2 linked regions of the Canis lupus familiaris genome follow. The protein of the gene in region 1 purifies or fractionates together with the protein of each later gene. This does not show direct contact. Links are inferred from orthologs where the notes say so. Each region holds a gene or a part of one and is shown on either strand. Other genes may lie near its edges.

Region 1 (15,829 bases):
CATAATGAGTTAGGTTAGCATCCATCACCTCATTTAGTTACAAAAATATGTTTTTTCCCTTGTCAAGAGAACGTTTAGGATTTACTTTCTTAGTAACTTTGAAAGATATCATACAGCAGTATTAACTATAGTCATCATGTTATACATTACAGGTCCAGCACTTATTTATAAATAGAATTTGTCCCTTCCACCACCTTCATCATTTCCCCACACATCTGATAATCACAAATCTAATCTCTTTTTATGTAAGTTTGGTTTGAGTTTTAATTTTTTTTTTTACAATTTTATATATAAGAGAGATCATGACTAGTTTCACTCTGTGTAGTGTCCCCCAAGGTCCATCCATCTTGTAGCAAATTGCAGAATTTCTTTCTTCTTTATGGTTGAGTAGTGTTCAATTGCATGCATAATCATATCTTCCTTATCCATTCATCTTTTGATGGACAATTACATTGTTTCCTTGTTTTGGCTGTTGTAGATAATACTGCAATGAACATGGGGTGCAGGTACCTCTTTTATATACAGATTTCATTTGAGAAATTAGTAAATCATGGTAGTTGTATTTTTAATTTTTGGCCTCCACATTGGTTTCCACTGATTGTACCAATTTTCATTCCCACCAGCAATGCAAAAGGACTTCCTTTATTTCATATCCTCCCAGCATTTGTTATCTTCTGTCTCTGTTATGATAGTCATTTTAGCAGAAGTGAGGTGGCAATCTCATGGTATTTGTGATTTGCCTTTCACTAATGATTAATGATGTTGATATTTTTAATGTTTACATGTTTTAGATATTAACCTCTTATCAGATATATCATTCACAGTTTATTCTACATTTTGTAGATTGCCTTTTCATTTTGTTGATCACTTCCCTTGCTGTGCAGAAGTTTCTTTTTTTAAAAAAAATATTTTATTTATTTATTCATGAGAGACACAAGGAGAGAGGCAGAGACATAGGCAGAGGGCTCCATGCAGGCTCCATGCAGGAAGTCCAGGATCACGACCTGAGCCAAAGGCAGACGTGCAACTACTGACTCACCCAGGAGTCCCTGTGCAGAAGCTTTATAGTTCGTTGGAGTCCAACTTGTTTGTTTTTTATTTTGTTGCCTGTGCATCTGACATCATATTAAAAAAAATTCCTAAGACTTACATCAAGGAGCTTTTTCCCCTTGTGTTTTCTTCTAGGTGTTTTATGGTTTCAGGTCTTATATTTACATCTTTAGTTCATTTTGAGTTAATTTTTTTGAATGGTATATAGCTTTCTTTTTTTTTTTTACATGTTAATATCTAGTTTTCCAAATAACATTTATTGAAGAAACTGTCTTTTTATTCCCGAGTAATCTTGGCTTCCTTGCTAAGTGTTAGTTGACCATATATACATGACTTTATATCTGGGCTCTTGATTGTGTTCCATTGACCTAGGTGTCTGTTTTTATGCTAGGACCATTCTGTTTTTGTTTTTTTTTTAATTGAAAATTTTATTTTTTTAACATTCCTAAGTCTTTAGATATTTTTAAGTATACATCAAAATGTTATGAGCACACTAAAAAATACATAAAGAATTTTATGGACCTGAAGTAACAAAATATATTTAGCTCTATAAAAAGTACACAGTGTAAAACAAACAAACAAAAACCCATAAATTTTCCTTTTTACCAAATATAATTTGATTCCCCCCAGAAGTTTGTTTTATTTTTCTCAGGCACTTTCTTTAGTGTTTTATTGTTACGTCTATAGATGAGAGAAGGGGCGCACTAAAATGCAGACACACATATACATACTCATGTCAATTTACAGTGTGTACACACCAAACCCAGATGCCTTTTAGGTAGAAGAAGTGGAAGAACCATCATCCCATTATATTTTATTATATTTTATTTTATTTTATTTTCATTTTTTTTGTTTTCTTTTTCAGGATTGCTTTGTTATTCATTGTCTTTTGTGGTTCCATACAAATTTTAGGATTGTTTGCTCTAGCTCTGTGAAAAATGCTGGTGGTATTTTGATAGGGATTGCATTAAATGTGTAGATAGCTTTGGGTAGTATAGATATTTTAAACAATGTTTGTTCTTCTGGTCCATGAGCATAGAATTTCTACCCTATTTCTTTGTGTCCTCTCAATTTCTTTTGTATATGTTCTATAGTTTTCAGAGTACAGATCTTTTACCTTTTTTGGTTAGGTTTATTCCTAGGTATCTAATTGGTTTTGGTGCAATTATAAGTGGGACCGATTCCTTGATTTCTTTTTCTGCTACTTCAATGTTAGGGTACAGAAATGCAATGGATTTCCATACATTGATTTTGTATACTGTGACTTTACTAAATTTGTTTATCAATTCTCACATTTTTTTTTGGTGGAGTCTTTCTTATGATTTCTTCTTAAATTTATTATGAATTTGTTGCCATGCTGGTATATACAGATCTACATATTTGGATTTAATATTACATAGTATGCATTATAGTATTTTATTTAGGTTCTCATTGAATGATAAATCTTTGGATGAAGTTCTTTTTTACAATTATAAGTAAGTATGAAAAAACAAAGTATATATATAACTTTATTTATGTGTGCATAAAATTCTTTCTTTCTTTTGAGGTAGATACCTACAAGCATAATTAATGAGATAACACTTTTAGGTATTTTACATTTTGCTAAATATGGCTAAATGTCTTGAATTTAGGTCTTTATCTCTGGTGGCATTTTGCACCACTCTCCTCCCACACCAATATTACATAAATGCCACATGGTGGGCATTTGCAAAATTCTTTAATTCTTGTAGGAATTAAAGGGTGCTGAATTAAAAGAATTAAAGGGTGCTGCCCACCCTCATCTTTTGTTCCCTTCTTATCCTTTCTTTACTGCCTTGTTGAACAGTGGGACTTTCCAGGGGGCTGATTAGCCAGTAAACAGGAAAATATTAGGTTTTCTTTACTTTCAGTTCCCTCTACCCCCTTCTTTCTTTTACACAACACCAGAGGAGTTTTCTAAAATGTTGATTTGAGGGATTCTTGTGTGGCTCAGTGGTTGAGTGTCTGCCTTTGGCTCAGGCCATGATTCCTGGGTCCTAGGATTAAGTCCTACCTCAGGCTCCCTGCAGGGAGCCTGCTTCTCCCTTTGCCTATGTCCCTGCCTCTCTTTCTTTTTTTTTAATAATAAATTTATTTTTTATTGGTGTTCAATTTGCCAACATACAGAATAACACCCACTGCTCATCCCGTCAAGTGCCCCCCTCAGTGCCCACCACCCAGTCACTCCCACCTCCCGCCCTCCTCCCCTTCCACCACCCCTAGTTCGTTTCCCAGAGTTAGGAGTCTTCATGTTCTGTCTCCCTTTCTGATATTTCCTACCCATTTCTTCTCCCTTCCCCTCTATTCCCTTTCACTATTATTTATATTCCCCAAATGAATGAGACCATATAATGTTTGTCCTTCTCCGATTGACTTATTTCACTCAGCATAATACCCTCCAGTTCCATCCACGTTGAAGCAAATGGTGGGTATTTGTCATTTCTAATGCCTGCCTCTCTTTCTTTGTCTCTCATGAATAGATAAAGTCTTTTAAAAATAATAAAGTGTAGACTTGGTAATATTGAGGTGTTTCTTAAAAAACTTCAAAAGTTCTTTGAAGTCAGAGTGTACTTGCTGTGTCTTAGCATATTACACAGAGCTGTCCCTGATCAGCTCTAGATCATTGCTTTTGCCATACCCTTTACTCCATTTTAAGTCATATTGAATAAGTCTTAGTTCTAAAAAGTTGACCTCTTTCATCCTTCCTTCCCTTGCTTATCACTTTCTTTTTGCTTGGTATGCAAAATACTCTCCCATCCTCACAGTCCATCTAGGAAGCTCCTTCTTATTTTTCAAGTAATTTCCTTGAGTCTCAGCTTTTCCATTTAAAAATAAGGATGAAAACAATCCTGCATATATATTGGCTAATTGAATTTAAATTAAATAAAAAAGGAATTAGCATTAGGGAATTTTATGAACAATATTTTCACTTATTAAAGGACACTTTAAGCTGAAAAATAAAATTAAAAAATCAAAACAAAACAACAGCTCCATCTTGGTTTTATAGTAAATCTATGAGATAATCTTACTTAAAGTCATTATTTCAGCCAAGCATATAGTAAACACTTAAAAAATGTTAAATATTCTTCCTCAGTTTTCTTTTGTGACACATTTTTATAATGTAAAGTATATCAGTACATTTAAAAAACATAATAATTTGACAATAGAGTACATGGCAAGATATCTGTGCTCAGTGAATGTAGAACTGAGTCGAATGGATTGGTTGAGACCAAGAGAAATGATGGTTACAGCCCTCTAATCAAGTGGTTGTTTGATTGCCTAAATATTTCATCATGCACCCCATGCATCCATCACTCAGTCTCAATGGTTATTAACATTTTGATAATTCAGATGTGACTTATTCTTAACAAAACCACCTTGTGCTTGTAACTGCTGCATTTCATGGTGCACTGTTCCTCAAATACTTGTTTCATAATCATTTCCAGTCCTTTTATGGAAATGATGGCAGAGGTTTCCATTTTGTATCCTGCAAAATATTTTTTCCTTTCCTTTTGAATGACATGTTCAGTCTTCTGGAATGATCTTTATCTTTGCTGGTGTCTTAGTCTGTTCAGGCTGCTGTAACAAAAGTACCATAGTCTGAGTGACTCAAACAACAAACAGTTATGTCTCACAGTTCTGGAGGTGGAAAGCTGAAGATCAAGGTGTCCATAGATCATCTGGTTCCTGGTGAGAATTCTCTTCCTGGCTTTCAGACACCCATCTTATTGTGTCAGCACATGGCAGTAGGGGAAAGGGAACTCTCTAGGGTCTGTTTTATCATGGCCCTAATTCCATAATGAATACTCTATGTTCAAGATCTGATTACCTCTCAAAGGCTGCACCTGCCTACCATCACAATAAGTATTAAGATTTCAACATGATTTTGAGAGGACACAAATGTTTGGTTCATAACGCTGATAATCTTGCAAATACCTTCTGTATCCTAATTAAGGACCACCTGATGAAATTGTTCCTAGCTGGAAATAAAGTTATTACTAGAAGCCCTTTAAAACTTGCCTTGTTTTTTTTGTTTTTGTTTTTGTTTTTTTTTTTAAACTCATCCATCTTGGGCTTTATTCTCCTCTTTGTCTTGCTTATTCTTTTTTTTTTTTTTAATTATGATTCATCCTTGACTGGGGAGATGGAAAGCACTGTGTAGATAAGTACTTCTGCTTTCTTTTGATCACCTGCTGGTACTACTTTCTATGTGTCTTTTTTTCCTGATTCTAAAACATCTTAGAGCTTAAAAACATAACATTGTTAAGGATTCTGGCAGAAAGAATTTGATTGCATGAGATGTTGTTAAGTCAAAGTTTTGTTGAAGGTCTAGCATATGTGGCTTTCTGTGTATGTGTACCACCTTCTGAGCTTCTATGCTAGAATGATGCAGCTCTACCTCAGAGAATCATGCTCCTGTTGGGTGATAGGATATATTCACTTTGACCCAAGTGCAGCACACCAAACATCTTAATCCCTGAGTGTAATTAATGAGTGTAATGCAAATCTAGATCTCTGCTCCAAGAGACCCCTTCTAGTGAAGAAGGAAGAGTGATATGGATAGAAGGGACACAGAGGAGCAAAGACCCTATAAGGCTTAAGTCCAAGTCCCCTCTCCACTAAACACTTGCTCTTTGACCTTAAGAGAAACATATGATTTAATAACCTCAGATGTGTAATCTGTAAAAGATATATAATAGTTACAGCTGCACTGCCACCTCGCTCAGTTAGTGTGAGAATCAAATAAGGCAAGTGCCTGCATTGTTATTGGAATTAACAGTGTAGGATAATCTGGGATTTTTTTTTTTTTTTTTTTTTTTTTTTTTTGGTATTAAGATGTGGTGGTAAGGAGCATGCATAGGAGAGGGAATATGTGTAAGAAAGAAGAAGAATGTGGAAGGAATCTGGATCAGTTTGCTTTTGCTCTGTCTCTTCTAATGATCCCAGCAAGACATCTGCTGTGACCATTACTTGTCTCTCTTATTGGTCCACAGGCAGAGTCATGCTCTCCTCAGATTGTATGCAAGATGCTGGCTCCTGACCTTGAAGTTGAAGGATGCAGCTTTTTTTTTTTTTTTTTTAAAGATTTCATTTATTTGAGAGAGAGAAAGAGTGAGTGAGAGAGAGCACCAGTGGGCAGTGCAGGAAGACAGAGGGAGATGCAGACTCCCCACTGAACAGAGAACCTGACTCAGGGCTTGATCCCAGAACCCCAGGATCACAACCTGAGCCCCCAGGTGACGCAAGGATGCACCTTTTTAGATAAGATGAGATTCCTGTGGCAAGATAGCTGAACCATGTTCAAGGAAGGCTGAACATTGAAGGCTTGTTCTTGTTCCTTCTCCAGGTTGGTGAATTCTGGCCTCACACCAGGTTGCTGTCCAGCTCTGGCCTCCATGCTCAGCACTAACCAGAAGCTCACACACCTTTACCTACGGGGCAATGCTCTTGGAGACACAGGGGTGAAGCTACTCTGTGAGGGCCTCTTGCACCCCAACTGCAAGCTTCAGATATTAGAGTAGGTCTCATAGCTAATTACAATGTTGGGGATGCATGGTGGCTAAGGTGGGGGGATGATAATGGGATGATTTGTATCTGAGAAGTGATGGTGTCCTCTTGAGGTTCAGCTTATTTCAGGATCCTGAGACTGAGAGGACCTCTACTTCTTGTAAATACTGGATTTCCCTCACCACAAAAGAATAGGGTGATTGGCACTGTGTTTTAGGGAAACTTGAAGAGAGGCATAGAATTTGGCAAAAATCAATTCACAATTACTAATTTGATCTTCACAATCTAGTAGACTGGAAAAAATACTTTCATCTGAAAAAGGGGAGAAAAATAACCATGGGCACAAAAAGTTATTCCAAGTTAGTTAATCCTGCGCTTTTTGTGCATTTGAAACATTGCAAGCTGAGAGCTTGTGGAGTTGGGGGGATGGTGAACAGGGCATTTTTTCTAAATCACCCTCTTCCTTGCAGATTGGATGGCTGTAGCCTCACCTCACACTGTTGCTGGGATCTGTCCACGCTTCTGACCTCCAGCAAGAGCCTCCGGGAGCTAAGCCTGGGCAGCAATGACCTGGGAGATCTAGGGGTCATGCTGCTCTGCGAAGTGCTAAAACAACAGGGCTGCATCCTACAAAGCCTGAAGTAAGTGTGCTCTGCACAGACTCACGTGGCAGCATTCAGAGTCCCAAGGACAAGTTGATCAGTTATCAAAACCCCAGATGGTTTCATCTGTACTCAGACTGAGATTGAGCCTGAGCCTGTTGTCCCAGACTTTTTTTTATAGGGTATATGAGTTATGAACCAATATTTAACTTTATCTGGACAGTCAGAATAATTAACATTCAGTTGGGTGTGAAAAGTTTCCATTCATGTTCCCCAAAAAACACAAGTCCCAATGAAAGTGGAGGACTAGGGCTATATGGCTCTTTAAGTGACCATATGTACTTTGAGAACAAGAGCATCCGTGGTTCATCTTAATCACAAAGGTCTTTGCACAGTGGGGTGTTCTGAGGATTTCTAAGTGGGAAAAGAGAGTTCCAGAAACATGAAGTTTAGAAGTTCCATGAACCAGCTTATGTGCATTGTGTTGGGTTTTATTATTAGTGATACCACCAGATATTCATTACCTCTCCAGTAAGAGCTTCCTAATGAGTCCTGTACGTTTGTCAGCCCTGATGATCACATTCTCCACAGAAGACACTCCCCTCACTTAGTGTTAGGGGGTCACACCTTTTCACAGTGGATTTCTTCCACTTCATTTGCTGTTTCTGCTCAGTCTCCTTTGTGGATTCTCTTTATCCTCCTGACCTGCACATGCTGAATCCTCAGGATTCCATCATTGGGCTAATTTTTCTTCTCTATACTTCATCCCATGTGGACATCATCTAGTCTTCTGGCTTTACCATATATATGTTGTGCTACCCAACTTATACCTGCACGAATTCCATGTCCAAGTGCTAATCTGACCTTTCTGTTTGTATGTCTAATAAACCTTCTAAACTTTACATGTCCAAATCCAAACCGCATTACCCCTTCTGCCAAAAAACTGCTTTGTCCCCATCTCAGTCAATGGTTACTCACTGTGAATTTCTCAAGCTAAAAAAAAAAAAAGGAAAAAAAAAAAAAAAAGAAAAAAGAAAACCTGTGTCATCTTTGACACCTCTTTTTTGTTATGCACACGTCCAACTCATTGACGTGCCCTGATAGGTTTCATAACATACCTGTTATTGACCTCTTCTTGCCAGTTTTGTGACTCCTACCCTGGTTCGAGCCATTTGCCCTCTTGTCTGGAATATTCTGGTGGCATTCTGCATCTCTTATTATTATTACCATGGCAGATGGAGGGTGCAGCTAAAACATGAACAAGTAATCATATCATTCCTACCAAAATGGTCTAGTGACTTCCTGTCACATTTAAAGCAAATTGCACAAACTCATGGCAGTGCGCACGGCCCCCTGTGATCTGGCCCCTGCTTCTTTTGCAAATTCATTTTCTCCTAATTCATGTTCCTTCTGCTCCACTTATACTGATCTCCTTGTAGTTTTGCAAAATTACTGTCACCCCCAGAACTTTGCACTTCCTGTTCCCTCTGCTGGACCTCTCTCCCCTTTGACATTGGTGTCTTGTTCCCATGTGTCTTTAAATTCTCTGCTGAAAGGTCTTCTAGATATCTGTCTCTGATCATCCTACTGAAAACAGCAGTCCAGCATATCCTCATCCCCTTTTCTTTGCTTATTTTCTTCCATAGTGTTGATCACCATTGTACAGACATGCAATATCATTTTCTTGTTTATTTATTATCTATATCTTACTCAAATAATATAAATTCTATTAGTCCTGGGACTTCTAGTTCATGACCTCAAGGCTGAGAACCAACTGAAATGCAGGTTCGCTTAAGCAGAAGTATGCATCGGCATTGCATCATTAAGCAGACACAGTGGAGCACACGTGCTGCAGGAAAAGCCAAAATTCTCAGAGCTAAGAAAATAGAGGGACAAAGGGAAGGATAGGCCAGGATGAAGCTGGGACATTTCTGTATGTGGAATTGCTCACCCAGTCCTGAAGGACTCTCTGGAGATGAGGGACAGGCTTCAACTAGACTGAGGAACCTCTATGCAGTCAACATGTCTTATCAGCTCAACACACATTCATTTCTCACAGTTTTCAATACGGAATGTCTAAGATCACAGTGCCAAGAGATTCAGATTCTGGGGAGAGCTTTCTTCCAGGCTTGCAGATGGCTGCCTTCTCCCTGTGTCCCTACATGGCAGAGAGAGACAGAGACAAGGACAGGGAGACAGAGTGTGTGCTGTGGCTTCTCTTATCATAGGGGACTGATCCCATCATGATGACCCACCCCCGCTCATCTAACCTTAATTTATTTCAAAGGCTTCTTTCCAAATACCATCACATGGAGGATTAGGGCTTTGATGTATGAATTTTGGAGAAACACAATCAGTCCGTCACACAAGCAAATCAAGATTGTTAGAAATGATGCAGGACAAATGGAATGATTTCTTAGCTAAGTTGTAAGGGAAACTTAAAAAAAAAGAGAGAGAGAGAGACAATAGGGAAGAAATTGTGTATCAAAGAAGATTTGAGGGACATACCAAATAATTTGCAGTGTGTGAACTTACATGGCTGCTGATTAAATGAACATAATATAAAAAGTGTATCAGCCAGTTGAGGAAATTTAAACACTGATTAGACATATATGTTGATATTAAAGAATCACTGTTAACTTTTTAAAGTGTGATAATGGAATTGTGGTTGTGTTTTTAAAAAGCGTTCATTTAGTGTCATATAGTGAAATATTTACAGATGCATGCAATGTTGTGTTTGTAATAATCCACTGATGTGAGGAGTAGGTGGGTGAGAGATGAAACAAGATTGGCCATGAGTTATTAATTGTCAAGTCTGGGTAACAGGCCTAGGGGTTCATTACTATTCTCTGTGAATGTACATATATTTAAACATTTCCAAACTTGAAGGTTAAAAATATAACCGGAAAACATGAGGCATGAATTATAGCATTGGAGAGTTTAGGAATGTGTTAGGTTAAGGGAAGTAAGGAGATGAGATTTTTAAGGCAAACACTCTGAGAGTGTTCTTCCAAGAACATAATGCAAGGCTCTTTATTTCCTCTTGCAGGTTGTGTGAAATGTATTTCAATTATGATACAAAATGTGCATTAGAAACACTTCAAGAAGAAAAGCCTGAGCTGACCATTGTCTTTGAGCCTTTTGGTAGTGACAGAAGCAGGCTGCCAGATGCCAGCGTTTGGGCTCCCTGCCATCTAGGTGTCCACAAGTGGGAGCGAGCACTCCTCCATCCAGGGTGAACACCATCTCTCGACGACTCCCCTGGTCCAGGGTGGGATGCCAAATCCTGCTGATGGTGCCTTTGTACAGAGAATGTGAGCACCCCCTTTGTCCCGGTTTGAAGACACAGGACAATCACATCATCCAAATGAGGTGGTTCTCAGTATAGAACCTTAGTCAGATATGTTCCTTTTGGTGACCTCATGTAACTAACTCATTTAATAAAGCACTTTTTCTGTTTCTTTTTCGCTTCTTACTCTCTCTAAATCTCCTTTCCCTCATATCTTTTTTACCTATCTTTGTTCTGTTCACTTTCACCCATCACCACTCCTACTATCTTTCCCTTAACTGACTATAACAGAACAAGTAAACTATATATTATGTTGCAATTTTGTGACAATGACTTATTTATTTTTGGTTTTTGTAACAGTTTTATTTTCTAATAAAAGAATTCATGTTTATTGTAGATAGTTGAAAATTCAGAAAATATAAGCCCTTTTGGTATTTATTGATTTAAATAGTTTTTTCCCCTTAATTTTAAAAGAAGTTGGCTAGAAATATTTTTTACTATAAACTACTGTAGATAAATTAAATTGCTTTATGCATTTAAAAAAATGAGTGGGAAATATCAGAAAGGGAGACAGAACAGGAAAGTCTCCTAACTCTGGGAAACGAACTAGGGGTGGTGGGAGGGGAGGAGGGCAGGGGGTGGGGGTGAATGGGTGACAGGCACTGAGGGGCGCACTTGACGGGATGAGCACTGGGTGTTATTCTATATGTTGGCAAATTGAACACCAATAAAAAATAAATTTATAAAAATAAAAAAAGATAATCCTAAAAAAATAAATAAAAAAATCTCTTTGCCAAATGATTTAATAGTAATAGTAATAGACGAAGAAAAAAAAATCATCTTACCCTGACTCTAGTGGTTGAAATTGCAGCTCTGCTGGGATAGAAAATTGAAAATCATGCAAAAGAAGGTTTTAGAGTACATGGAGCCTATACTAATAAATAGAGGTATTATGTAGAAAATGCATTTTACCTTCAATTGTAAGAGTTTATCTTGGGTTTATCTGACTTCAGGAGCAGTTCATCTGCCATACTTCATATTGATTAATTGCTTTTCTATGCATGGGACAACTCTTGAACCACATGGGATTGTTCAGGATGGAAACACTGTTTCCTCGTTAAATGAGGCATCCAGAGTTCTGCTGCTCAAAGCACTGCCTGCCAACTGTTGATATAAGAAACTTGGCGCAAGGATGTAGATCAATCACATTACTAAGCATGCTTTTTAGATAAGCTGATTTTTTTTCTTGGTAAGAATGCCTCAATAAAGGAAACAGTGTGTGATTTATATTTTGTTGCAAGCTTTTTTTCTTGTCTAGGACCAGCGTTTGGGAGTAACTCTGATCTAGATTTTTGTTTTCTGCATCTTGGTGAAGTGAACTATTACACACTGTCTCCCTGCCACACACGCATTGACTGACAGGGTAAAATGTAATTAAAACACAGTTATTCTGGAAAGAGAAAAACTTCTGGACACCAGGAACTTAAAACTGAATTGAGAGTTTACCAATCACTCACCCAGAGGAATATCTGGATAAATAAAAATGCTACAATATGACTATTAATTTGGAAGAAATCCATGAGGCTTCCTACACCAGTAGAACTAAAAAAATAAGTAAAGTTGTTGGATAGAAGATTAATATACAAACATCAACAGCATGAAACTGGAAAAAAAATAATTCTTTCCAACTATCATAGTAAAGATTGTATCAAGTATGAAGCAAATGGATGAGTCCTAAACGCTAAAAGGATGTGAAAGAAGAGCAGGTACTTACATATTTGGGGAGTCTCCACAGTTGGCTAATCAGTTGTGAAAGAAAAATATTAACTATGTAAAGAACAGAAATTAGATAGCATCCTAACCATCTCATAAAAGGTATCAATGGAGGCAAATGGATGTTTCCTTTCTGGTGAGATGACTTGAGAAGGTGAATAATTGCAGCACAGGATGTATATGCAGAACCTTGTCATTGGGAAACACTGCACCAATTCCAGATGAGGCAGTACAATTGAAAAGAGGAATTCTATCTGAAGAGGGGACTGTCATCTTCAAGAACATCCATGTCATGAGATCCACATCACTTGCCATCAGGGAAATACAAATCAAAACCACAATGAGATACCACCTCACACCAGTGAGAATGGGGCAAATTAACAAGGCAGGAAACCACAAATGTTGGAGAGGATGTGGAGAAAAGGGAACCCTCTTACACTGTTGGTGGGAATGTGAACTGGTGCAGCCACTCTGGAAAACTGCGTGGAGGTTCCTCAAAGAGTTAAAAATAGACCTGCCCTAAGACTCAACAATTGCACTGTTGGGGATTTACCCCAAAGATACAGATGCAATGAAACGCCGGGACACCTGCACCCCGATGTTTATAGCAGCAATGTGGAAGGAGCCTCGGTGTCCATTGAAAGATGAATGGATAAAGAAGATGTGGTTTATGTATACAATGGAATATTCCTCAGCCATTAGAAACGACAAATACCCACCATTTGCTTCGACGTGGATGGAACTGGAGGGTATTATGCTGAGTGAAGTAAGTCAATCGGAGAAGGACAAACATTATATGTTCTCATTCATTTGGGGAATATAAATAATAGTGAAAAGGAATAGAAGGGAAGGGAGAAGAAATGGGTAGGAAATATCAGAAAGGGAGACAGAATATGAAGACTCCTAACTCTGGGAAATGAACTAGGGGTGGTGGAAGGGGAGGAGGGTGGGGGGTGGGGGTGAATGGGTGACAGGCACTTGACGGGATGAGCACTGGGTGTTATTCTATATGTTGGCAAATTGAACAACAATAAAAAATAAATTTATATATATAAAAAAAGAACATCCATGTCAGTATTGATAACAGGTAATTCTTGGGAGGGGAAGGGGGGTGGTTATGGGATTGCACTATATGCTATTCATATTCTTTTTTTTTTAGATTTATTTATTTGAGAGACAGAACTCAGGAGAGTGGGGGGAGGGAGAGAGAATCTCACTTAGGCTGTGTGCAGAGCACAAAGCCCAGCACACAACCCTGAGATCATGACCCGAGTCAAATCAAGAGTCATCCTGTCACCCAAGTGAACCCCCCAGGCACCCTTATCATTCTTATTCTTGTATCTTTTCTGTACATATGGCATTATTTCCTAATTAAACATAATAAAACAATAAAATTAAAAATGCTTAATAGCACTCCTAAGCTCCTGCAATTTAAAATGTAATAAAATCCTATTAATTATAGCAATAAAAACTATCAGATACCTGGAATAAATATATCAAAAACTGTACAAAAGTTATACAAAAGAGACCTAAATGAATGGAGAACTATTCATGGATGGGAAGGTTCCGAGCTCCACTGCCTTTGCATCGACAAAAATGCAGTGCAATTGCAATTAACATACTAACGGGGATTTTAATAGAATTGAGCAAGATGATTTTGAAAATGTATCTGGGAAATAGTGGGGCAGAGTATTGAGGGAAATTTTGACAACCTAGTAGGATCTGCTTCACCACATATTCTGGTGCTATAATTGGTCTACATATTAGAGGCAGGATAGAGTTCATGTGCAGGTGTAGAAATGCATGGAAACGCAATCTGTGGCACTGAAAATGATGAAGAAAGGATGGTCTAGTCCAGGAACCTGGCTTTGACGAATTGCCATACTTGCAGGAACACTATTTCTCATACAAATAACTTCCAGGAGTGATAAAGACACTGGTTTTTTTTTTTTTTTTTTTTCAATAATTTTGATTTTATTGTTTTATTTTTCTTTTTTTTAAATTTTTCATTTCAAGTTTTTATTTAAATTTCTGTTAGTGAACATGCCTTGTAATATTAGTTTCAGGAGTAGAATTTAGTGCTGCTAAACATACAAAACCCAGTGCTTATGACAAGTGCCCTCCTTAAAGCCCATCACCCATTAAGCTCACCCTCTTGCTCACTGACATCCATCAACCCTCAGTTTGTTCTCCAAAGTTAACAGTCTGTTTTATGCTTTGTTCTTTTCCCTCCATATGTTCATCTGTTTCATTTCTTAAATTCCATGAGTAAAATCAGATGTTGTCTTCCTCTGATGGACTTATTGGACTCTAGCTTCATTCATGTCATTGTATATGCCAATATTTCCTTTTCTTCTTCTTTTTTAAAGATTTATTTATTTATTTATTTATTTATTTATTTATTTATTTATGAGAGACAGAGAGAGAGAGAGAGAGGCAGAGACACAGGCAGAGGGAGAAGCAGGCTCCATGCAGGGAGCCGGACATGGGACTCGATCTTGGGTCTCCAGGATCATGCCCTGAGCTGAAGGTGACGCTAAACTACTGAGCCACCTGGGCTGCCCAAGATTTCCTTTTCTAATGGCTGAGTAATTTTCCACTGTATATATAGACCGCAGCTTCTTTATCCATTTGTCTTTCGAGGCTCCTTCCACAGTTTGGCTATTGTGGACATTGCTGCTATAAACATCGGGGTGCAGGCGTCTTGCCATTTCCCTGCATTTGTACCCCATTTCCCTGTATCTTTGGGGTAAATCCCCAGCAGTGCAATTGCTGGGTCGTAGAGTAGTTCTATTTTTAACTCTTTGACCTTCACACAGTTTTCCAGAGTGACTGTACCAGTTCACATTCCCACCAACAGTGCATGAGGGTTCCCCTTTCTCTACATCCTCTCCAACATTTGTTGTTTCCTGTCTTGTTAATTTTCCCCATTCTCACTGGTGTGAGGTGGTATCTCATTGTGGTTTTTATCTGTATTTCCCTGATGATGATGTTGGCCATTCACATGTCTTCTTTGGAGAAATTTCTGTTCATGCCTGCTACCCATTTCTTAACTTGATTACTTTGGAGAGAGTGTTAAGTTTAATAAGTTCTTTATAGATCTTGGATACTAGCCCTTTATCTGATATGTCATTTGCAAATATCTTCTCCTATTCTGTAGGTTGTCTTTTAGTTTCCTTCACTGGGCATAAGTTATTTATTTATTTATTTATTTATTTAAAATTATTTATTTATTTGAGGCAAGAGAAAGAGAACATGAGCAGGGTGGGGGTTTAGAGGGAGATGGAGAAGCAAACTCTCCACGGAGCTGCTTGTGGGGCTCAGTCCTGATCCCGGGGCTCCAGAATCATGATTTGAGGTGAAGGCAGACACTTAACTGACTCCCCAGGCACCCTGAAGAGGCTCTTTATCTTGATGAAGTCCCAATAATTCATTTTTGCTTTTGTTTCCCTTGCCTTTGGAGACGTGTCTTGCAAGAAGTTGCTGGGGCTGCCATCACAGAGGTTGTTACCTGTGTTCTGTAGGATCACATTATATACCATATATAAATCTAGATAAGAAAGACAAATTTCATCGCATGTCATGTAAG
Region 2 (16,260 bases), on another chromosome or scaffold:
TGATGGGAAATCACTGTTACATTTCTTGAGCATGATAATGGTGTTGTGATTATTTCAAAGAATGTCCTTGTTCTCAGGTGATATGCGCTGAAGTACTTAAGCAGGAAATGCCATGGTGTTTGCTTCTTATTTCAGAATTCAGCTAATAAAACGGAAGGGATGAAGGAAAGAAGAGGGAGGAGGAAGGGAGGAGGAAGGAAGGAAGGAAGGAAGGAAGGAAGGAAGGAAGGAAGGAAGGAAGGAAGGAAGGAAGGAAGGAGAAAAGAAAGAAAAGAGGAAATGGGGCAATGTTACCAATATTAATGAAGATCCTAGGGCATATTCATTATATATTCTTAGAATTTTTCTGTAGATTTGAAACTTTTTATAATAAAAATGAGGTGGAATTAAAAAATTAAAATCATGATGTTTAGAATCAACCTCAGACCTGTGGAATAAGAATTCCCAAAGGTGAGGCCAGGGAATTTATTTTTTTAAAAGTCCTCATTGTAAAAAAAAAAAAAAAGTCCTCATTGTGAGTGCCAAATGTCTATCAACAGACAAGCAAAATATGATGCAGACACAATGGGATATTATTCAGCTATAGAAAGAAATGAACTTCCAGTACATACCACAACATGGATGAACCTTGAAAACATATTCTAAGTGAAATAGGTCAGCAAAAAGGACATTGTATGATTCCATGTACATGAAGTACCTAGAACAGGCGAGTTTATAGGCACAGAAAGCAGAATTGTTGAATCACTATATTGTACACCTGAACCTAATCTAACACTGTTAGAGTTCAATAAAAAGGTTAAAAGCATGGATTTTATGTTACCTGTGTTTTATCACAAATTTTTAAAAACTAATGTAATATACTGAATTCCATTGAAGTGTACACTGTACTTTTATGTCTTTCCTTTAGAGAGAGCATGTGCACAAGCAGCAGGGGCAGAAGGAGAGGGAGAGAGACTCTCAAGCAGACTCCTCAGTGAGCTCAGAGCCCGAAACAAGAGCTCAGTCTCACAATCCTGACATCAAGACCTGAGTGGAAACCAAGAATCGGACGCTTACCCAACTGAGTCACCCCGGCGCCCCTGAATTGTACACTTTAAATGGGTTAATTGCACGATCTGTGAATTATATCTCAAGAAAGCCATTAAAAAAATCTCAGGGGATCCCTGGGTGGCGCAGTGGTTTGGCGCCTGCCTTTGGCCCAGGGTGCGATCCTGGAGACCCGGGATCGAATCCCACGTCGGGCTCCCGGTGCATGGAGCCTGCTTCTCCCTCTGCATGTGTCTCTGCCTCTCTCTCTCTCTCTCTGTGACTATCATAATTAAATAAAAAATTAAAAAAAAATCTCAGAAAACATCAAAATCCATACCTTTTTAAATGAAAGATAATTATTTTTGGTGCTTTGGAAATACTGGCCCTTACAGCTGTTTCTTGCTTGGTTTCACAGAAAGAACAGTGAATTTGGTTATTCCAGGTCAGTGTGTCTTGTTGAAAAAAACACTGGAGACAGTCCTATGGAGGTAAAAAAGCATTTGGTGACTACTCTGGATCAACTGCAGCCCAGCCTGTTTACAGTAGCACTTTGCAACAGCTGTGGAAATGTGATCTTCAGTGCTTTCCCCAAAGTCAACACATCCAGGAGGCCCTGTGTCACGAGCTGTTGCCTGGACAGGTTTAAAACCTACCTGACAAAAGGAGGTGCGTCTCTCTCACTTAGTTACTGAAATGGATCCAAGTGCCCATCTCACTTCCAATCTCTGGATCAGCATTTTAACATTTCTGGTTTATTTCAGAATAATACTGACTGTGCAGTTTCGACTAACCAAGTCAGGCAGCTGTCTTAGGTTATTTGTCTCATCAGAAAAGTGATCCAAAAACTGAAAATGACCGTGTCCCGTGTTTTGAGGTGACCCAAAATGAAGACGGCAGAACAGAACTTGATCCCATGCCCCCAGAAGCCATCCTGAATGTAGCCAGCCCCCCACTCTGCAAACCATTAACCTGAAGAGAAAGATGAGAGCAGACTGTGTTTCAGTACACATGCCAGTGCCTCATTTAGTGTCTTTGGATTTTGTTTCCAATCATCTTCAGCAATTCCATCTGAGAATTAAGCCTACTTCTACATAAGTAGTAGGATTCTGTTCTCCAATTCTGGTATGGGAAAACTTATAGCAGCAGATGTGTCTTCACAATTTAGTTAGAAAAATATAAATATGTATTATTCTTCAAGGATACGTATTGCTCCCTGCCTTCTAGCTGTCCCCTGCCTTCTACTGCTACCTGGATTTACAGATTAATTTTTGGTATTATGGTGAGGAAAATTCAAGAGGTAAATTCCCTGTATGTACCAGGCCATCTTAAATAGAATGAACAAATCCCACCAGTCATTTCAATTTTACAGTGAGGCTGTTTTAATGATTACATTTAGAAATACAACTGAATTCACAGTAACTTTTGACTATACGTTGCTTTTCTACAAAATATAGTCATCATGGGCTTCCAATTTGTTTTAAGTTATAGAGCAGCCCCCCTCATAATAGACAATGTAGGAAGCAGCCCTGAGATGGTATCCAGGAGCAAGAATCCCTACCTGAAGAGAGCACTCATATTCGGATGGAATGGGGAGAGAGAGGACGGTGAAGACTTCATTCTTGTAAGTACAGTTCTCACACTTCAAACACATGATGCTGTAGTTGAGCTGCCCTTCAAACAGCTGTGTGATGATGGAGGACTCACTGGCAATCACCTTCCTGCAGCATCTGAGAACAGATCCTTTTTCGTGTGATCTTTTTCGATGGTACTGAATCAAGGAACAAATTGGCCCCGAATCAACTATTGGTTATCAAAAGAAAGCTTTTAACAGAATGACTTGATTTTTTTTTCGATCAGAATGATACACTGCTACCAGAAACCAATTAATTTTGGATTCAGACAATACATAGGTAAGATCTTCTTAAGTGTACATGTTATGTGGGGCAACTGGGTGGCTCAGTCAGTTGAGTGTTGGGCTCTTGATTTCCGCTCAGGTCATGATCCCAGGGCTTTGAAATCGAGCCCCGTGTGGAGCTCCAGTGAGGCTCCCCAGCCAGCCTTGCATAGAGCTCTGAGCCCATCAGGGAGTCAGCTTAAGATTCTCTGCCCTCCTTGTGCTCTCTCTCTAAATAAGTAAATCCCTTTTTAAGAAAAGTATATATTAGGATTGATTTCTGATAATTCAGTTATTTTCCTCCTTAAGCAAAGCTGAGGAATGATGACACACTAAGGCTGGTAAAACACATGTCCGTGCCCAGAAGCAGAGAGCTTATGATCATATGATACAGGGTCCTAGAGACAGTTCTTCTTGGGAAGAGGACAAGTAAGCTTTTGAACTAGCTTTCAGTCATGCAAACTGATGGAGGAGATAAATGAAATCTGTCCTCCCTCCAGCCCCTTCAGATTTAGCATCTTCTACTTCTATTGTTAGAAAACACTTTTTGGGGGCACCTCAGTGGCTCAGTGGTTGGGCGTCTGCCTTTGACTCGGGTTGTGGTCCCGGGGTCCTGGGATTGAGTCCCACATTGGGCTCCCCGCAGGGAGCCTGCTTCTCCCTCTGCCTATGTCTCTGCCCTCTCTGTGTATCTCTCATGAATAAATAAATAAAATCTTTAAAAAAAAACTTCTTTAAAAGAGCAAACCTTAAATTGCTAAGGCAGCTCAATTTAGCCTTGTAGCCTGATTTGATCTAGCTCATATTGAGGAATACCCTTTCTGGGAGCAGTTTGGTGCTTTTCAGTGGTTGAACGGCCTCACTAGACATTCAAAAGACAGCTCCACAGACAGCTCCACTTTGGAGCTGTGCTCACTGCTACCCTTAGCCTTGCTTCTTTCGTCATGCCCTACTACCGAGGTTTTCCACCTGATGGTAACTTGATGGCCCTAATGCCAACTTTAGTCTTGGGAATGAGAATGCTGTTTATTTCAGATTGGGTGCATATGAAGACCTAAGTGATTTTACTGGCCACCACCCTAACTTCCGGCTTAAAAAAAAAAAGTGCTGCCATGAATATCTTTCTATCAGTAAAAATGAAAAATGGAATCACAGGAATGGAAAATGAAATCTGAGGATCAGGGATGAGAGTCATCAATGCCTCTCATCTGCATCATTTACTGAAATATTTCCTGATGGTAAGTATAAGGTAAGCTAACGTCAGCACAGCGACACTACATAAAACCACGCATCTCTTTTTGGTGAGTATGTGTCTCAGATCAAGACTGAAGGCAACGAGTCTTACAAAGAAAAGTAACACCTTCCTAAATGGCAATCTCATGTTTTATTAAGTGTTATGTCCTGATCCAGTGAAGAACTCAAGTTCAGAATGTTTAGCACAAAGATGAAACTTCGCAGTATTGAGGTCTGTCCTTTAACCCGGAGCTTCCTATTTTCTTGGGTCTGTAGTTGCCATGAACATGTATTTTAGGTTGTAAAGTTCTATATGTTATTATCTCATGAGGAGTATATTTTTATTTAAAAATATGTGATTATCACTTAAAAAACAACTAGTCTGTGCAGATGTTATTTGCAAAGGGAACAGATTAGTGTTTCCCACGCCTGTTGATCACTGAAACACCACGTGAGCTTTCCCAAGGGACAGCCCAGGACATTCTAGTTCAGTAACACGGGAGTGAGGGTCTTAGAATTAGTGTTGTAAAACTCTTCTCGGGTGATTCTGAAGATGAGCTAAGCTTGGTAAATACAGACCAATTCAAATAGTGACTTGAGGGACACCTGGGTGGCTCAGCGGTTGAGTGTTTGCCTTCAGCCCAGGGCATGACCCTGGAGTCTCGGGATCGAGTCGTGCATCGGACTCCCTGCATGGAGCCTGCTTCTCCCTCTGCTCATGAATAAATAAATAAAATCTTTATAACAAAAACAAATAGTGACTTGAATGTGCCCTGCACAGAGTGGGCAATACTAACAGAACAGATGAAAGAATGAAAAGTAAAAGTTGGGGCAGCCCTGGTGGCTCCGTAGTTTAGCACCGCCTTCTGCCTAGGGCCTGATCCTGGAGACCCGAGATCGAGTCCCACGTCGGGCTCCTTGCATGGAGCCTGCTTCTCCCTCTGCCTCTGACTCTCTCTCGAATAAATAAATAAAATCTTTAAAAAAAAAAAAGAAGAAGGAAGAAAGAAAGAAAGGAAGAAAGGAAGGAAGGAAGGAAGGAAGGAAGGAAGGAAGGAAGGAAGGAAGGAAGGAAGGAAGGAAAGGAAGAAAGAAAAGAAAGAAAAAAGGAAAGGAAAGGAAAGGAAAGGAAAGGAAAGGAAAGGAAAGGAAAGGAAAAGAAAAGAAAGAAAAGAAAAGAAAAGAAAAGAAAAAAAAGAAAAAAAGTTGCTGACAGAGCCGAAGGTCTATCTTATTTCAAGGCCATTAATCCTACTCACTTTTTTCAGAGCTTCATGAAGTTCATTCAGGACATAAATCAAGAATTCCTGAGCATCCTGTTGTGTCTTTTTCATAAACGCTGGGTAGAGGCTGCCAAGAGCTGACCGAAATACTTCTGGGGAGACACATTCTGAGTCTCCAAGCCACATGTCTGTCATCACATAGGCGAAAGCAGTGGCCACCTCACGGCAATCCCTTGGAAGAGGGGCAGAGAATGTTTCCGGCCGACTTCACCGAAAGGAAGGCACCTCCAAGCTGGGGCAGGTGGCAGCACACCAAAACCCACGCCCGTCTGTCGGCCGAGCTCCCCGCGGGGTTCTTCACTCTGGAAGTGGCGCCCGGGGCTCTGGGGCTCTCGCTGGGCCTGAGCGGGGGCTCGAGAGGGCTCCCTCCCGAAGCTCACCTGGGAGGTCGGGGCGGGGGTGGGGGGCTAGGCAGTGGGGGCTGGGCCGCAGGGAACACAGCGGCCTTACCTTTGAAGAGCCGTGATGTACTTCCCGGAGACGAAGTACTCCACCAGCGGCGAAACGCTGCACAGACACTGCAAGATGGCGTTCATGTAGCACGTGTTGCCCAGGTTGCGCAGGCCCGTCACCCCCTGGCGGCGCGGCGGGCTCGCACGCAGCTCGGCCAGCGCAGGGGCGTCTGGGGGATCCGTGCACTCTGCGCTGCGCAGGCGCGGCGGGCCAAGAAGGGAAAGCGTTCTGAGGGGCCCGCCGAGGGCCGAGGGCGCCCGCCCGCCCGCCCGCCCCGGGCCTGACCCGCACGACTTATTCCCGAACTCCGAATGGCGCCTGCGGCCCACTAAGCAGAAGTCAAAGTTTCTTCCCGAAACCACAGTAAGGGGACTGAGAATACTGGCCTTGCAGAGACCTAGAATCGCATTGGCTAAACATGCGAACTTTCCCTCAGAGTTCCAAAGTTTTAGGCACCTGGGTGGCTCAGTCGGTCAAGTATCCGACCCTTGATGTCGACTCAGGTCACCCTTTGGGGTCGTGAGATGAATATAGACGCGTGGATACACATGTATATAGCCGTCTGTTGGAGGCTGGTGGTCACTTCCAACACACTTTAACACCACCACGTCTTAGTTCATTCCTTCCACATTTTATATTCCCTTTTTTTTTTTTTTTTTTTGGTTTGGTTTTGTTTATTTATTTTGGGTGAGAGCATGTGCCAGAGTAGAGGGAGGGGCCGAGGGGCAGAGAGAGAGAGAATCTTCCAGCAGCTTCCTGGCTGAGTGTGAAGCTTGGGCAAAGCTCCATCTCACATCCCCATTTAATTCTTTCAACAAGGGACACCTGAGTGACTCGGTGGTTGAGCGGCTGCCTTTGGCTCAGGTTGTGATCCCGGGGTCCTAGGATCGAGGCCTGCGTGAGGCTCCCTGCAAGGAGCCTGCTTCTCCCTCTGCCTATGTCTCTGCCTCTCTCTCTCTGTCTCTCATGAATAAATAAATTAAATCTTAAAATAATTCTTTCAACAATTCTATGGGGTAGGTATAATTATTTTTAAATTTCGTTTTACAGAGGAACTATTACATTTAAATGGTTTTATTGTTTGCCTATTATATATATATAATATGTACATATATATGTACAGTGGAATGTGGAGAGAAGGAATATCTACCTACGTACCTACCTACTGAGTTATTTGGATTTATATATCAGGTAATAACTAACAGTGTGTGTGTATACACACACACATATATATGGCATCTTCCCTTCTCTTTGGGGGACCCCCACTGGGTCAAACCTGAGGGAACCCTTCCAAATGTGGCATGTAACCCCCACTCCTTTGATATGGTATCCTCCACCGCCCAACTGAACTTCTTATGAAAGCTATAGTAGAGAGTGGCTCACAGGACGTAGTAGATGCTGAAGTCATCTGCAGGGAGGGGCCGCTGCGAAGTCATTTTAGTGAAACCACGTTGAACTTCTACTCAGGAGCTACATTTAATCCTTTTAACTTCATTTCTCAAAGCCTGTTACCTTAGCTCTTTTTGTTTGTAATAAACAATTTATATGGTTCTCTCCCCTTTCAGTAGCTGCAAACTGATTTTTAAATATACTTCAGGTACATTCCAACTTGGATTTCCCATGCATCATAATCATTTCCATTCATCCTCAAGATTCTAGCATGTTGCCATGAGATACCATAACTTGGCTGCTTAAAAACCATAAAAGTATTAGATTTCAGGGGTGCCTGGGTGGCTCAGTCATTTAAGTATCTGACTCTTGGTTTCAGCTCCGGTCATGATCTCAGGGTTGTGAGATCCAGCCCTGCATTGCTTGGACATGAGGCTGCTTAAGATTCTCTCTCTCCCTCTCCCTCTGTTCCTCTCCAACCCCCTTCTAAAAAAAAACATTAGATTTCACAGAATGAACTGAACATATAACCTCTCTTCCTCCTTCACTCAGTTTCTCTTGAATATAAATATGTATATATATCACATATATATTATACATATCACATATATATATCATATATATATGTGTGTGTGTGTGTGTGAATCACACACCTACACAGAATATTTACCTCCGCATAGTCCACTATGGCAACCCTGCCCCCTTTGGGCACCCATCCCCACTCCCAGGGACTATCCAACTCTTAGGATCCCAAGGGAATATTTCTCACTCCGGGATGGGAGGCAGTTGGATTTTGCTGCTTTGAAAAATGCATAGCATTGGAATAGACTGTAGTCTTTCTCTTCATGGTCACCAACTATAGTTCAAAGAGAGTGTAGACACACACACACACACACACACACACACCATTAGAGCCAATCCAATTTCTCTTTTCCCAGCTCTGCAGTAAGTAAAATAAACGAGGTTATAAAAGAAGAAACTCTTCAAAAATGTAAATATCAGGAAAGATAAAGAAGGCTGAGAATCATTTCAGATTAAAAGATAAACTGGAGGGGTGCCTGGGTGGTTCAGTTGACTGAGTATCTGGCTCAAGTCACTATCTCAGGGTCCTGAGATTGAGCCCTGCATCAGGCTCTATGCTGAGCGTGAAGCCTGCTTGAGATTCTCTCTTTCCCTCTCCCTCTGCCTCTCCCCATCCCACACTTGTGTGAACACTTGCATGCTCTCATTCTCTCCGTCTCTCAAGAAAAAAACAAACTGGAGAAACAAGACACTTAAAATACCCAATCCTGGCTAGGATCCTGGATCAGGAAAGAAATTGCTATAAAAGGACATTATTGGAACAATAGATAAAATCTGAATAGGATTATATGTGAATAGTTTTGTATCAATGTTGAATCTTCTGAATTTTATAAGATGATATCCTGTTTATGAAAGAAAATGTCCTTGTTCCTAGGAAATACACACTGAGGGATTTTAGGGATAAAGAGGCCTGATATGTGCAAACTGCTCTGAAATGGTTCAGAGAAACGCACAGAGACACAGATACACATGAGGAAAGGAGGGAAGGGGATAAAGTGACAAAGCAAAGATGAAGCAAATGCAGCCAGATGGCAGCAATGGGTGAATCTGGGTGATGGTAGACTGGAGCCCTTTGTACAATTCTTGCAATTCTTCTCTAAGTTTGAAATTATCTCAAACCAAAACTTTCAAAAAAACAAGAATGTAAAAAATATGATTTTAATATGGATTTATCTCCAAGATATATTACTGGTGAGCCAAAAAAGCAAGGTTCTGAAGAGTCCATCTACGGCGTGCACCCCGTTTATTTCCAAATGTATTTATGTTAATGTTCCACAAAAACATTAAGAAAGATCATTCTTTGATGCCTGTATGAGGGATCCTGGCAACTAGAGGTGCTAGTCTTACAGCTATTTTATATTTGTGGTCTATTTACAAAGGGGCTTCATGAAGTCCCCTCAGTGGTGATTCTGCTCAGTCAGTGAACTTCTCCCAAATACTTCAGTTCTTCTTCATCAGTAGAGTCTTGCTAAAATTTCATTTTATGATTGATGCTCATCAGTAAAAACAGGACTCATATTCATATGTTGATATTATATCCAGGGACCTTTCTAAACTCAAATTCTAATTTTTATAAAGATTCTTTGGATTTTCTACACACATTCAACTCATCTGCAAAAAAAAATCACTTATTATTTTCCTTTCCAATCCTTATGCTTTTTATTTCTTACCCTTTGAACTAGTTAGCACCTCCAGTAAAATGTTGAACAGAAGTGAGGATAGTAGTCTTCCTAGCTCATTCCTGAACTAAGAGGGAAAGCTTTGAATAATTCACCAGTAAGGTACACCTGGGTGGCTCAGTGGTTGAGCATCTCCCTTCAGCTCAGGGTGTGATCCTGGGGTCCTGGGATCCTGGGATTGAGTCCCACATCTGGCTCCCCACAGGGAGGCTGCTTCTCCCTCTGCCTGTGTCTCTGCCTCTCTCTGTGTGTCCCTCATGAATAAATAAATAAAATCTTTTTGTAAACAAAATTCTCCAGTAAGTATGATGTTTGCTAAAGGCATAGTTTTGTTGTTGTTGTTGTTGCTATTCTTGAGGGGGGAGGGGCAGAGAGAATGAAGGGGGGAGGGGCAGAGAGAGAAAGAATTTTAAGCAGGCTCCACACACATAGCACAGAGCCTGATGTGTAGGTTGAGATCACGACCTGAACGGAAAGCACAAGTTGAGGGGATCCCTGAGTGGCTCAGCGGTTTAGTGCCTGCCTTTGGCCCAGGGCGCGATCCTAGAGTCCCAGGATTGAGTCCCTCTCCAGCTCCCTGCATGGAGCCTGCTTCTCCCTCTGCCTAAGTCTCTGCCTCTCTCTCTCTCTCATAAATAAATAAATAAATAAATAATTAATTAATTAATTAAATAAAAAGAAATCACAGGGATCCCTGGGTGGCGCAGCGGTTTGGCGCCTGCCTTTGGCCCAGGGTGCGATCCTGGAGACCTGGGATCGAATCCCACGTTGGGCTCCTGGTGCATGGAGCCTGCTTCTCCCTCTGCCTGTGTCTCTGCCTCTCTCTCTCTCTCTCTCTCTCTGTGACTATCATAATTTTAAAAAAAAATTTAAAAAAAAAGAAATCACAAGTTGAACACTTAGCCGATTGAGCCACCCAGGGGCCCCTAAAGGCATAGTTTTTGTTCCTTGTGTTTCTTTTTTAAAGATCGTATTTATTTATTCATGAGAGACACAGAGAGAGAGAGAGGGGGAGAGAGGCAGACACACAGGCAGAGGGAGAAGCAGGCTCCATGCAAGGGGCCGGAGCCCGACGTGGGACTTGATCCTGGGTCTCCAGAATCACACCCTGGGCTGAAGGCAGCGCTAAACCACTGAGCCACCCAGGTTGCCCCAAACGGTGATTTTCTAATGCCATTATTTCACCTACGTTCATCAACTGGTAACCTATAAAGACAAGTTTTTTTCTTTTCCTTATTTGTTTATTCTTCGAATCAGTGTGGATTCATGAATTCCTACTTTATTTAATGGATTACAATGTTATCATCATTTATTTTTGATATAAAAATTGTCTCCAGATTAGCCAGCAGAGGGCTCTTCAAGATGTTTTCTGCGCCTGTTTGAATGTCTCCATCATTCCTTGAACACTTCCTTACTTTTGGCGCAGTAAGATCTTCTAGACATACCTGCCCCAGTCCTGAAGTTAGTCATTTCTCTAAGAGCCCTGGTTCCTTTTGGAGAATAGTATTTAGAAGCCGAGATCTAGAAGCTAGATGTACTCATGCTATTACAGTGTCACAGCTTCGTTATCTTCTGTATGTTTCCGTATCTGATCAACCCCCTGCTGCCCTCCTGCTGCCCCCGCTCCCCGCACACTCCATTACATTCCACACACCTCATGCTTATCCTCCTTCTCTGACACCTCACACCAGGTCATTGCTGCTCAGCAACAATCCAAGGCCCATCTAAATTGGTCTCAAATAATTAATGTCTTTTAAACCAAATTGTGAATGGATAAAGGAAGAAAGGAATCTGGTTATTTTTTTGCTTCTTTCGTTGGGATTACCTTTTAAAAACTCCCCTCCCCACAGACTTGTCTAGAAGCTGTACATCATTTTAATATTCTTGGATTGTTCCCTATAAATATTTCAACAAATATACAAGTAGCCCTTGTTATCTTAATCTATTTGGGTTCAAAGTTTGAATGGCAAGGGATATCATTATTATCCCAGCCTATTTGGTTTTTAAGCTCTAGATGGCTTATAATGACCTTGTGTGAAAATTTATTTAGTTCCTTGAGATCACATAGTGAGACAGGATAGAAAGGGTTACCCATAGGTAAAAGTACTTTTTGGTCAGTTAATATCTGTAACTTCACCCAAATAGATGAGACTATTAGTGTCCTTAAGTACCATCTTTCCCTGAATCGTCTTTTATTTTATTTACTTATTTTTTAATTTATTCATGAGAAACACACAGAGGCAGAGACATAGGCAGAGGGAGGAGCAGGTTTCCCACAGGGAGCCTGATGTGGGACTCGATCCCAGAATCCCAGGATCATGCCCTGAGCCAAAGGCAGACGCTCAGCCACTGAGCCACTGAGGCATCCCCTAAATCTTCTTCTAATATTTAAAAATGTTTTATTCTAGTTTACTTTTAAATTTTATACAACTTATATTTGCCAGAAAGTATTTTATGAATATTGCTTGCCGCTTTTATCTCAAGTCTTCCTATTTAGATCCTATCCTTCTTTTTGCTTGAGTATATCCTTGATTGACATTTTCCAAGAAAATGATGAACTTTCTGGGAATGACATCACATGGCTGGGTTCAAAGTCTTCCCTTTCTCCTAATAATGTTGCTTTCTTGCCTCGTGGATACGTGAGGACAGGTGAGAGTTCTTTTGTTAATCTGCTTTTTTTTTCCCTTTGTAAACTTTTTTTTTTTGTAAACTTATTTTTTGCTATGTATTTATAGAGTTACCAAACTGTGACATGAAGTACATACTTTATTTCCTCATTTCTAGGTCTTGCACCTGGAACTCCTACTAGATAGTTGTTGCATCTTTTTCATTAATCCAGAAAATATTTATTATGTATCTACTTCAAGTTAATCACTGTGTTAGATGCTTAATAGTGAATAAAATACAAATCTTTACCTTCGTATAGCTTTCAATCTATTGATCACTTGGATTTATTCTGTGCTTTCAACTCTTATTTTCCATTGTTTTGACTCCCTTACATGTGTTATGATTGAGCACTTATGATTACTTTATTTGAATTATCTTGATGTTTTAGCTTTACATTTGTGCTCAACGCTACTTTTTACATCCCTTTTTCTAATTTCATTCTTAGAGTGAATCTTTTATTTATTTATTTATTTTAGATTTTATTTATTTATCCATGAGAGACACACAGAGAGAGAGGCAGAGACAAAGGCAGAGGGAGAAGCAGGCTCCTTGCAGGGAGCCCAATGTGGGACTAGATCCTGAGACTCCAGGATCACGCCCTGAGCGGAAGGCAGATGCTCAACCACTGAGCCACCCGGGTGTCTTTCTTAAAGTGCATCTAAAAAGTGCCTTCAAAAGATGAAAATGGAACAGACTTAAGCACTTCTATGCAAATGATACACATCCACATATCTCAAAAGCATGTGCTCATATTCCAACCATACTTTGCTTAACAGAAGAGGCTACAAGATAAGTTCTTTGTAAGGGAAAAATTATTCTCAGAATGTTCTGTTCTCCATCATGTACTCCTCTCTTCACTGGAATTCCTAAGGAAAGGCAGCATGAACAAATCCATTACTTGAGTACCTTTATGTGCTGAGTACGTAACTCTCTGCACCTTCACAAAAATGTGAGATCAGAATTATCAGAGAGGCTTGCTCAATTGGCTGGTTATTCATGGAATAAGAGGAAGAGCAAGAATGGGAGTTCAAGTCTGTCCAGTTTCACTTTGCATTAGTGTATATATACACAGTAGCTACAGAGTCGAAAGGCCCTTAAATGTATGACTTATCAGTTCAACATTCTTATTGCCAGATAATATTCTATAATATGGATTTATCATATTTCACTTTTGGGTATTATTTTTGTTTATTATAAAAAATGCTGTTATGAACATTCATGCACAAGGTTTTGTGTAGACATATTTTCATTTTCTTGTGTATACACTTGGGGGAAAATTGTTGTCATATGGTAACTCTTAATATTTAACCTTTTGAGAAACTGCCAGACTGTTTATCAAAGTTGTAACACTACTTAAATGTCCACCTGCAATATATGAGCATTCGAATTTCTCCATATCCTTGCCAACACCTATCATATCTTTATTCTAGCCATCCTAGTGAGTGTGAAGTGGCAGTTCATTGTAGGTTTTCTTTTTTTTTTTTTTTTTAAGATTTTAGTTATTTATTCATGAGAGACACAGAGAGAGAGACGGAGACACAAGCAGAGGGAGAAGCAGGCTCCTGATGTGGGACTCGATCCCTGGACTGAGGATCACGCCCTGAACCAAAGGCAGACGCTCAACCGCTGAGCCGCCTAGGCACCCCATTGTAGTTTTGATTTTAATTTCCCCAATGGCTAATGATGTAGACTCTTTTCATGTGTTTATTGAGCACTCATATGTTTTTGGAGAAATGTCTGTTCACATCCTTTGCCCAGTTTTAAATTGGGATGTCTCTTCATTATTTAGTTAAGCTCTTTATAAAGTCCTTTATCAGATATATTACTTGCAAAAATTTTCTCCCAGGGGATCCCTGGGTGGCTCAGCAGTTTAGCACCTGCCTTTGGCCTGGGGCGCGATCCTGGGGTCCCGGGATCGAGTCCTGCGTTGGGCTCCCGGCATGGAGCCTGCTTCTCCCTCTGCCTGTGTCTCTGCCTCTCTCTCTCTCCCCCTCTATGTCTATCATAAATAAATAAATAAAAAATAAATCTTTAAAAAAATTTTTTTTCTCCCAACCTATGAGGTGTCTCTTCATTGTTAATAGTGTAAAGCACAAAATTTTTAATCTTGATGAAGTTCAACTTTACTGTTTCTTTGGTTACTTTTGCTGTTGATGTCTTATCTAAGAAACTATGGCCTATTCCAAGGATACAAAGGTTTACTCCTAGATTTTCTTCTAAGAGTATTATCATTTTTTTTTTAGTATTATCATTTTGGCTCTTATATTTGTTTTCACTTCATTTCAAGTTAATTTTTGTATATGGTGGGAGTCAGGTGGCTCAACTTCATTCTTTTGTATCTAGTTGTTCCAGTACAATTTATTGAAAAGAGTATTATTTCCCCATTGAGTAGTTTTGGTACCCTTGTGAAAAATCAGCTTACCATAAATTATTGATTCATATATTGTAACACATTGTCTTGATTACTGTAGCTGTCTGTGGGGATGAGGGTTTTTTTTTTTTTTAAGATTTTATTTATTCATTCATGAAAGACACAGAGAGGCAGAGACATATGCAGAGGGAGAAGCAGGCTCCATGCAGGAAGCCTGACACGGGATTCAATCCCAAGGACTCCAGGATCACGCCCTGAGCCAAAGGCAGACGCTCAACCACTGCCACTCAGGCATCCCAACTGTGGATATTCTTATTTAAAATAACCAAATTGGACAAGTGGTAGTTTCCCAAAGATTAACTGTAGTACAGAATCTGAAATCTCATCATCTTTTCATACTCTGGTACACCTTTCACACATGCATCACTTTATAATATCATGTACACGTCATTTGGAAAAAACTGGTTATGCAGATTTCCAAACATTAACGTATTTTATGATATATTATCAAAAATAACCGTTGTTAAATCAATACTGATTTCTTTAGAAAAGTATTGAGAAGCTGTTATGTTATTGGTGTTAATAGGCAAGTGTTCCCCAAATTCAACTTTTCTCTTAAAATCTCAAATTTTAGCATTAACAAGTATTATTACTCTTCAGTCAAATCCTCAAGTTTGAATAACCCTGGTTTGTCCGCTAGTCACTCTTTCAAAACAGAAATGATGTACAATGAAAAAAGTGACACATTTTCACATTAGGTGCTTTTCCTTGAACACAGTCATTGCACTTCACTATGTAGCAAGTTTTATGTGTTTGTATTTCTCATTTTGTTCCACAGATATTAAAGACCTGTATCCAAGGGTCAAGATTTATTAAAAATTATTACATCAAAGACATTTTATCTACTTTTAAAAGATTATTTTTAATTAATCCCTACACCCAACATGGGGCTTGACTTCACAACTCCTTAAGAGTCACATGCTCCACAGACTGAGCCAGCCAGGCCCCCGGATCAGACATTTTAGATGACTTTTTTTTCTTAAACTGTGGTGAGGGTAAAGAGTATGACTACTAGTACAGTTTGGTGCCACTGCTCTGACTTGTGCCAAGATACCAACAGTTTTACCCATCAAGAATTTTGCCTCATCAGTAAATCTTTCCATATAGTGAAAAAGGCAAATAATATCTTAGAATTATAGAAGTTTTGACTCTGTGGGCTCCCTGACAGTGCCCTGGGGACCCTCAGGGTTGGTGGTCCATTGCACGAATCACTGATCTAATTAATAGATCTAGGTAATGACCATCAAAAAGACAACCAGTGGGATCCCTGGGTGGCGCAGCGGTTTGGCGCCTGCCTTTGGCCCAGGGCGCCATCCTGGAGATCCGGTATCGAATCCCGCGTCGGGCTCCCGGTGCATGGAGCCTGCTTCTCCCTCTGCCTGTGTCTCTGCCTCTCTCTCTCTGTGACTATCATAAATAAATAAAAATGTAAAAAAAAAAATTAAAAAAAAAAAAAGACAACCAGCACCATGTTTCCTAATGGAAGTATACACCACCATCGAGGTACATATTCTTGACAAAAATTCAATCTTGAATTTGACCAAGACTCTAAACCTAATAGTTTATGGCATATTCAAGAAACAGAAACATGTAAAATGGCACATAAGGGAAATAATCAGC

Evidence for each region.
Region 2: the proteins of NLRP3 (region 1) and USP50 purify together in Homo sapiens (affinity purification with western blotting; 3 studies listed by BioGRID). This does not show direct contact. The link is inferred for Canis lupus familiaris from reciprocal best matches to the Homo sapiens genes NLRP3 and USP50.

The regions. Positions count from the first base shown.
Region 1 is NC_049229.1:378,440-394,268, forward strand, and holds the end of NLRP3 (NACHT, LRR and PYD domains-containing protein 3), read left to right. Parts: intron 1-6,415; coding exon 6,416-6,586; intron 6,587-7,046; coding exon 7,047-7,217; intron 7,218-10,227; coding exon 10,228-10,417; 3' UTR 10,418-10,863; downstream 10,864-15,829. UniProt on the Homo sapiens protein: Sensor component of the NLRP3 inflammasome, which mediates inflammasome activation in response to defects in membrane integrity, leading to secretion of inflammatory cytokines IL1B and IL18 and pyroptosis.
Region 2 is NC_049251.1:16,737,207-16,753,466, forward strand, and holds the start of USP50 (inactive ubiquitin carboxyl-terminal hydrolase 50), read right to left. Parts: upstream 7,497-16,260; 5' UTR 7,329-7,496; coding exon 7,276-7,328; intron 6,085-7,275; coding exon 5,890-6,084; intron 5,612-5,889; coding exon 5,416-5,611; intron 2,798-5,415; coding exon 2,588-2,797; intron 1,510-2,587; coding exon 1,367-1,509; intron 1-1,366. UniProt on the Homo sapiens protein: Deubiquitinating enzyme that removes conjugated ubiquitin from specific proteins to regulate different cellular processes. Regulates the inflammasome signaling pathway by deubiquitinating 'Lys-63'-linked polyubiquitination of the PYCARD/ASC adapter protein.